Linked DNA regions of Arabidopsis thaliana. The protein of the gene in region 2 interacts with the protein of the main gene of each other region in a pairwise test. Each region holds a gene or a part of one and is shown on either strand. Other genes may lie near its edges.

Evidence for each region.
Region 1: the proteins of AT4G17950 (region 2) and BAG4 interact in a two-hybrid assay, tested with the Arabidopsis thaliana proteins (one large-scale study listed by BioGRID).

The regions. Positions count from the first base shown.
Region 1 is NC_003074.8:19,206,115-19,210,347, forward strand, and holds BAG4 (BCL-2-associated athanogene 4), read right to left. Parts: upstream 2,535-4,233; 5' UTR 2,065-2,534; coding exon 1,857-2,064; intron 1,682-1,856; coding exon 1,425-1,681; intron 1,348-1,424; coding exon 1,201-1,347; intron 1,113-1,200; coding exon 915-1,112; 3' UTR 654-914; downstream 1-653. Other genes in the region: G1 (transmembrane protein G1P-related 1), read right to left, coding at 3,779-4,233. UniProt on the Arabidopsis thaliana protein: Co-chaperone that regulates diverse cellular pathways, such as programmed cell death and stress responses.
Region 2 is NC_003075.7:9,966,220-9,971,224, forward strand, and holds AT4G17950 (AT hook motif DNA-binding family protein), read right to left. Parts: upstream 3,014-5,005; 5' UTR 2,789-3,013; coding exon 2,149-2,788; intron 2,042-2,148; coding exon 1,986-2,041; intron 1,909-1,985; coding exon 1,771-1,908; intron 1,645-1,770; coding exon 1,483-1,644; intron 1,400-1,482; coding exon 1,076-1,399; 3' UTR 560-1,075; downstream 1-559. Other genes in the region: AT4G17940 (Tetratricopeptide repeat (TPR)-like superfamily protein), read left to right, coding at 1-98, 174-346, 439-559; AT4G17960 (phospholipid hydroperoxide glutathione peroxidase), read left to right, coding at 4,935-5,005. UniProt on the Arabidopsis thaliana protein: Transcription factor that specifically binds AT-rich DNA sequences related to the nuclear matrix attachment regions (MARs).

The DNA.
Region 1 (4,233 bases), on a different chromosome or scaffold from region 2:
ATGTTTACCGATACAAAGCGTAAGAAATCATCACAGAATAGAATATAAATTAAAATTAAAATATTATCTGACAGAACATAATAAATGGTCGAGAAAATAATAAATAATAATATGTGCTGTTAGATAGCCGGCAAATGGCTTTTGCCACCCACATTGAACGGCGAAGTCATGTCAACACGTTTTACTGTTAATTTTTTTTGTTATATAAATAAATGGTTAAGGAAGTAATCGTAATTAAATCTCTGCTAAGCTATGATTAAGTCTAATCACTGCTGAGTGGATTATTAGTTTATGTGATGGCACAAGAATGTTATTATATAGATTAAATATAATTCCATGGAACATATAATTGAGAATGAAACGTATGGTCATGTGGGTGAGACAGCTAAGAATGTCTTCTAGTTTTTGGGTAAGAATGTATTTTTTATCCAAAAAGCACGGATCGTACTCTTGAAATGAAACTAACCTTAACTTTGCATTATTTGGCTTGTAGTGTGTACTTCTCAGTTTGAGGCAATCTTCCCTCGAAGCTGTAGTTTATAAGGATTGAAACATGTAACAGTAAACATAAATCATTTTTGCAACACTATCGCTATCATCAAATTGAACTTGAGCTCCCGATTACTAGAACATGGAAACACATATGCAAAAGTGTCTCCAAAACTCGTAGCCATAATCTTTAGTACTACGACATAAGCCAATTAGGCACGACAGAGACTGAGAGACATCAAAGACTATTCCCAGGGATTATTCCAACATAACGTACAGAGATGTAGATTTCCGATACTATATATAATATATCTATACATTAGAAGATAAAGACGATGGTCGTTTTCCAATATTTAACAATAATCAAAAAGATAAACAGTTTCAATAAGCATTTTTTTCCAAGGCAACGTAGCAGTACTAAAATGTCAGTCAAATTTCTCCCAATCTTGAGTTACATTGGCCGAAGGCGAAGCTGGCGGAGGAGGGTTCAAGCTTCCGACACCGTTTCCGAACGATTCCCACTCAGTGCTTACAGCTGCAGCTTTGCTCTGATCCACAAACGGATTTGAACATCTTGCCTTCAACTTATCCACAGCCTCCTGCAAGTTTTGGATTCTACGTACCTGCCAACACAAACCACAACTCATATATCTTCCAACTCTATTAACACTCTTACCGTGTAAACATGCTTAACAAAGCAAGAAAACTAACCTCAGCCTTACGCTGTACTTTAGCGTCCCCTTCAGCCTCAATGCCATCCAATTTGAGCAGCTGCCTCATAAGAAGCTCTGCAGCCATGTCAAACTCCCGCACCGCAACTTGCGTCCCTCCATTCACAGCAACTTCTAAAGCAACAACCTAATTACCAAAAAAAACTAGCTTAAGCACAATCCTTCCGTCATCTCCAAAAGAAATACAGGCTTATAAAAACTCACTCTATCCGAGAGCTTATCGACCTCTCCTGTAACCGCGTTAACAGCAGCAATAGCTTTTTCCATCTCTTTAGTTACCACAGGAGGCTGTTGTTCCACTCTCTTATTCGTATCCTCAACAACAACAACAAGCTTAGACGCATCCTTAACACCAGCAGCTTGCAATTGTTCAGCATCATCTCTCTCAACTCCTCTGAACAAGATCTTCAATTCACTAGCTTCCAATCCAGTTTTCTGAACAAGAGCTTTCTTCACATCCCCTAGTTATCACATTCGAGCTTAAACATATCAATCTTCAACTACACTAACACAACTTCAACAAAAACTAAATAGAGCAAGAAAAATTTCATAATGAATCACGCTAAATTCTCTCAGGCTTCGATTATTTGGAATTTTCAGGCGATGGATCAGAAACGGAGCTGAGAGTTTTGTTACCGAAAGTGGCGTGAGCAGAAATATGAAGATCGTGGTGCGATGAGCCATGAGAAACAGTGATTCTGATGGTTTGAGCAAAAGCGGCGGAAGCAGAGTCGGGATCCTGGAGAGGTTTGTGGTCGGAGGAAGCGGCGTCGTCTCTTCGTTGGACGAGCATACCACCAGGTCTCACCTCCCATTCCGATTCTTCGGTTGAATTATGCATCATCGTTTTTCGACAATGAATCGGAGTATGAGATTAAAGTATAAAACCCTTTGGGCCAAAAAAAATTAGGGTTTTCCTTGTCAGGGTATTGATAGACGGATGATGCACACCTCCTCAAAACATACAAATTCTCCTGATAACACACATGTGTTTCAATTGTTATATATTTGTCTTTTTTGGTAATTAGAATTTTTAAGGACTAAATGAACCAAATATTTTCAGAAATTGTAACAATATTTTTTTTCTTCTTAATATAGATGTTTTGGTTTTTCACATATGATGATGATTTGTGAAACGTCAGAAAAAAAAAATCAATAAGTTTAAGATTGCCAAAAATAGGTAACGACTGATTTTGGATCCAGCCAACCGGCCCTGGATGGAATGATTCAGTGTCAATGTATATGTATATAACTCACGCTTTGGCAGGATTTGAGGCAGGATTTGAACAAGCCCAATTTTAGACAGGTCGGCCGAACCGCCACAATGCATATAGTGAGAGATTTAACTTGATATGGTCCCCAACCAAAAGAACTTATAGGCCTAAAATCTGAACTTTCTCTGAACCAAAAAACAAAAACTATCTACGAGGAATATGGAATAATCTAGTTAGTATAGGGCAGCAAGTATAGTAATGGTGATTTGTCCCATATTCAAAATGGACCAAGCACACAATAGCAATCGAATATAGTAGTGACAAATATCGTAATGCTCTTGTTCCATACTTGATAGTCAGTATTTTTGATGACTCAATCATATACCACTCGTTCCATACTTGATAGTCAGTTTTTGTTGACTGAATCATATACCACCCACGATAAATTTGCTATACAATGAGAGACTGATGCATATATAAAGATGCACTTAAAAAAAGCAAAAGCAATAGCGTAACTGCGGAACACTTCAAACTACAGCTACATTAGTAGACTAGTAGTTGGTTATCAACCAACAAGCCTAAGAGAAGTGCCAAAACAGAAGCCAATGCCATGATTCTAGAGGCAAAAACTAGGCACCTAATCGACTCAGAAAGTACAAACTTGAAATCTCCAGGGCCAGAATTGCCTAGTTGAAACATAAGATGCATAAAAGGAATGCATGACCATCTTCAAGATTGTCAACAAGCTCAACCCATATTTATAAAACAACAAAGAAAGAGCTTGGAACCTCCAGAACAACTAAGAGGAAGCTCTGAAAGACCTGTATGTTCAACTCTTTTGGCTATAGTACCTAGTCATGATAAGAATAAGGTCACACAAGCTACAACTTTGGTGATACGTTTACAATTATATACCCACGACCTGATGAAGCTAATAAGATTCACTAGATCAATCTAATCTGTGTGCAGCAACAAAACATAGCTTCTCTAATCTGTGTGCACATCAACAACAAACAAAACATCCAACAACACAATGAATCAAGCAGCATATTTGATCCCTCGTCAAAGTGTTCTTTATTTGATCAACACAACAAGAAAGTAGATTAGCTTATAGCTTTGTGGAATCAAACAAAGCTATTGTATAGTGTATCACATTTCTCCACTTAATTCTCAAATAGACTCAAAAATCAAATCTCTGTTTTCCAGGAATATAACATTCCAATCTTCCTACTCTTTTCCAGAAACTATAATCAAATATAACCTTATAAGATGAACAATACTCACCAAAAGCTCGAACTTGGGGAAAATTTTGATTAACTTAAAAAGAATGAAGTTTATACCAATCTAAGAAGCCGCAACTTCAGCAGCTTGTTCAGTCGCCGCCGCTTCAATAATTTTCTTATTCTTCTCAATCGCCGCCGCAACTTCCTGTGGCATATACTTCTCATCATGCTTAGCCAAAACTTCAGTCGCCGAGAAGAAACAATCGAGGTTCCTAGCTTTCTTCGAAATAGGTTTTGTAGAAACTTCCTTCCTTACTTCATCTGTATACGGCTTAATGAATCCTTCAACCACAACTGAATGACCTTCCCTAAACAGATCCGGCAAAGATCCTTTATACCTAACCAAAATATCAGTGATCAGATCAGTGATCACAAACTCCATCTCCTGTGACGCCGCCGGCTGCGCAACGCTACCTTCTAGAACCAAACCACCGAGTCTGAATTTGTTCTTTGTTGGATTCTCTGCGAATTTCTCCATAGCGTCTGATGGCGTTAGGTAGAAGACAAGCTGATCCT
Region 2 (5,005 bases):
AAGATAAGAGCAAGATCGGTGATTATTATCGAGAGATGTTGAGATCTAATCCTAATAATTCGCTTCTTCTGATGAATTACGGCAAGTTTTTGTATGAGGTTAGTGATTTTTAGAAGCTGAATTTGAGTTTTGGGAATTGGAGATTAGGTTTTGATTTGGGATTGAATCTTCAGGTGGAGAAAGATGCAGAGGGAGCTGAAGAGTACTATGGAAGAGCAATACTGGAGAATCCAGGAGATGGAGAAGCTTTATCCATGTATGGAAGATTGATATGGGAAACGAAGAGAGATGAGAAGAGAGCTCAAGGTTACTTTGATCAAGCTGTTAATGCTTCTCCTAATGATTGGTATAATTTGTATACTTTGATTACTTTTACTAATCCCAAATTAATTTTCTTTACTTTGAATCTAAAATGTTTGTGTTGTTGTAACTTTGTAGTATGGTTTTGGGATCATATGCACGTTTCATGTGGGAGGCAGAGGATGATGATGATGATGATGAAGAAGAAGAAGAAGAAGAATGGATGGCTGCATCACCACTCATGGTTTCTGCAGTTTAGAGACTAACACGACGAAGATGAAGAAGAAGTAATGGAGACTAAGATTATGTATCAAGTATCAACCTTTTTTTTGTCTATTTCACTGTCTTTTTACTAACTTTTGTTGTAATAACCTGAAGAGTAATGAAAACATGTATGTGAAAGAAAACGAATGTAACCTTATTATAAGAGAATAAAAGTGCTTTTGTATAGTTTAGAATTTCGTTGTTTAGAATCAGAATTAAAGTGGATAATTCGTTGAATATAGGAGAAAAAGAACAAGTCTTTATGATCATCACAATCAAAAGAAACTACTAAGAAACAAACTAAACAAGATTGAATTTGAAACCTACTTAACATGTCTCTCTCTCTCTATTTATCTAAAACCAAAGCTAAATTTAAGAGAAATAGTAAAGGAGAAGAAGATGAGAGAGTAAGAGAGCTCAATCTACTTTATAGAGATAAATCTGATGGAGAGATGTGTCAAAAGGAACAGAGAAGCAAACCCGGTCAAATCTTGACCCATGAACCATCTGTTTATTGAGGACTGTTGCCAGGCCAGAGATTCTGGTACATCTGCATAGGAATTTGGTGAAGCGGTTGAGGTGTAGAGTTTCCAAATATCCCATGATTGTTGCTGTTGTTGTTGTTGCTTCTACGGTGCAACGGAGAATTACTTTCGTTTTCCTCTGATGACTCGCTCGAGTGTTGTTGTCCTTGAGATCGAGGGCTTCCCGGTCCACCAACACCACCAAAGCTCAACATATTGGCTGGTGCTGAAGCTGGCTCCGGAGTATTCTGAGCACGCCCCGCACTTTGTTTCTGCTTCCTTCCATCTGGTACAAAGCTTCCCACAATGACCTATATAAAAACCCCAATCAAAGTCAGTATCTTGAATACTTTCTGATCTTAACTCAAGTGTAAAGGTTAAGAATTTGACAAACCTGGACTTGTGATCCAGCTACTAGCATTCCATCAACACATCCACCCACAATCCGGCCTTCGTGTCCAGCCAGCGACACACTCAAGTTACCAGTTTTGGTCACAGTACCATTACTCTCAGAATTCAAGAAAGAACCTGACAGAGAAATGATTTCAAATCGGCCCTGAAACAACAACACATCCAATACAGCTCAATACAAGATTTAAATTCCAGCTCCATTCGATAACAACAGAGCTCAAAATGAGGCCAAGAAGCAAGCAATGCACAAAGCACATGAGTAATTTTATACCTCATACTTAACAGTTCCAGTAGGATTGCTATTGTTAGCTTGACGAAGCATCACATTAGTTACAGCTCCTGTAGCTGAGAGAATACAGATTGCGCGTGGCCCTTGGTTCGTAAACGCCAATATCTTCGTAGCTATGTCCTGAATACAATGAAAGATCATAACTTTAACCAAAGAAACAAATTGAAGATTAAAGATTTGCTACATCAACACATTACCTCTCCTGTTTTAACCTCAATGACATGAGGCGTGAACCCAACTCCTCCTGTTCCTCCTGCTCACACACACACACAGAGGACAAAACCCATTAAGTAAAATTGTAAAACAGTGAATTTGATTTGATAAGAGAAAGAGAGAGAGAGATAGAGATAGATCCTGTACCTAAAGCATCGAGCTGCTTCTTACCGGAGCCAGGAGGACGTCCTCTGTTCCGTTTAGCAGGTGGATCGGAAGAGTTAGCATTAGCTCCGGCGCTATCACCACCACCACCTCCTTCATTTCCACCACCGTAAGAATTAGAAGCAGAAGGAAGAGGCGAAGTAGGAGCCAAACCAAGAGCAATGTTACTACCACCACCACCACCACCACCACCATCAGCAGCATACTTCCTAGGTCTACCTCGTTTCTTCTTAACCTGTTGATGGTCGATCCCAAATCTCATCGAATGTTGTTGAGTGGCGGCAACAGAAGAAGGCGATCCATCAAATCCAAGAGATTCAAGAGTCTTCTGATCTATCTGTTGCTGAGGCTGAGGATGATGATACTGATGTTGTTGAGGCTGATGCGGTGACATAGAACCACCAAAAGGTAATCTTTGATGCATAGCTTGAGATGTGGAGGTGTTGTGACCCATTAAAACAGCGGCGGCGGCGTTAGGGTTTCGATTGTAGGAATTGTGGTGACTCATTAACATCCCTGGCGGTGGTTGTTGCTGTTGTTGTAGATGTTGCTGTTGTTGCTGCTGCTGCTGTTGTTGTTGTTGTTGTTGCTGTTGTTGGTGGTGGATCTCTCTGGAATCCATTGGAGGTGGAGAAAAGTATGAATCTTTGTGAATTTAGGGTAATTTTCTTGGAGACCCACTTTTCTGTTTTACGAATGCCGAGAAAATAGACGAGAAAGTGCAGGTTTTTGAGTTTTAAGCGAAAGCGTGTGAGCTAGCTAACAACTCTCTCTCTCTCTCTCTCTCTCTCTCTCTCTCTCTCTCTCTCTCTCTCTCTCTCTCTCTCTCTCTCTCTCTCTCTTTCTTGAGTTCTTTCATCAGACGAGGGACGATCTAGTTAGTGTCTAATTTTTTTATTTTTTTTTTGTGTTTTTGAAGATTTTTAATTATATAAATAAAAGAAGAAATTGAGGAAACAAATCTTTGGTTTATGGTTTTCAGTTTTCAGGAGATTAAGTTTTGTTTTTGTTTTCTTTAATATTGATGAATTTAACTTTTAAAATATAATATAATTAGGGTTTTGTTAAAATGTGAATGAAATAAAGAGTTTGTGTCTTTAATAATGATGATGTTCAGTCCAGTTATAGTTTCTAGTTGTAATCTAATGTAAATGGTTTGGTGTTCTCTCCTTTAACACTAGTTCTGTTTTAATAAATGGTTTTCAATTTTTTTGGGGTTTTTCACATAATTTCCATTGTTGCATTGAATGAACCAAGTTTGGTTATTGGAAGAGAAATCAAACCGGAATGAGACATTGAAGTTTAATAAAATATTAGGAGGTTATTTTAGTTCAGTGTCTTTTTAGAAAATCTCTAAAATGCAAACAAATGCACAAGAATTAATAAGAGAATAATATATCAAATAAATTATTATGTAAACTAAAGATTTTGGTTTGACTGTGTTTGGGAAATGCAAAAATAATAAAGATGGGGTTTGTACTTTGATGTGTCAGATTTTTTTTCTTAAGTATATCCTTCAGATCTTAAAAACAATCACTAGTTTGAAAATGACAGCAGCTTATTTTGACTATTTTGTCCTTCTATTGCCTATCTTTTTAAGAAAAATCTATCATTCAGAATTCAGAATACTGTTGTATATACTCTCTATAGATTCCAAATTAATTGACAAACTCAAGTTACTAATTTTTAATGCTACTATATCACATAGATAAAGACCCACTGGAGTTGGAATAGAATGTAGCAACCAAATATTTAATATATGCAACTTTAGAATCCAAAACAAAAATCTGTGTAAAGGAACAAAAGTGTATATTTTAATTGGTTATGTACTCTTCTCCCATACTTGTTCACGAGAAAATGGAATTTACCGATTAGATTTTTTTTTGTATCCCGGTTTAATCCAAAGGATAAAATATGTGATGTGTATCCGGTTTTGTTGGAGATGATAATCAATGTAAAAGACTAAAAGTACTAAACTTTTTATGTCTAGGTAGCGACTAAAGTGATTGACTTTAGTAGACCAACAAGCAATAAAAAGCAAATGTTATCAACAGTTTACGCCATGCGCGTACCTTAAGAAACTGGACACGTAAAACCAGATGCTGTGAAAAATTAGTACCTGAACATAGAAATATTTCGAGACAGATAACGAATGTTTTTCTTTTAAAGTACTTTAGAGTTTATCATATGATTCAAGTCACCTGAAAGATCCATAATCTCTATTATCACTTGGTGCTGCAAGGCTGCAACACATAAGAGTGTTGCATTGAAAAATGAAAACACTTACGGAAACTAATGAACTTGGAAGCAATTGACCAAAAGTATAATTATTGGTCAGGTGGGCTTTTATTAATGGGCTTAACTCTCACTAATGTAGCCCACTAGTGAAATGTAATTGTGGTAAATAAGAATTTACCGCTCGTTAATGGAGAAGAAGAAGGGTTAGATTTGGAAAGTAGAGAAATGAGCAAAAGCAAGAAGAAGAAGATTCTCTCTTTGATCCACTTTCCTCCATTGTCGTCGCAGAGAGAGTGGAGATATTCGGATTCAGTTTATGAAGTAGAACTTGGGTCTAAAGGATTCAGTTTCATAAACCCTAATAAGTATCTGTTGTCTGATTAACTTATAGGAAAGATCATTTTTTTTTTTGTTTCTCTTAGTGACGGATTGGTCTAGAAACTAGTATGCAAATTGTAGCTTCTGGGAGAGAAAGTTTGTATTTTTAGTAACGGATTTATTTTGGGAGAGTTTGATTTGTAAGGATTAGGATGGGTTTTTTCAAGAAATTAGCTGGTGTGTTTGGATTTGGCCAGGAAGTATTGAAAAATGAGGAAGATGA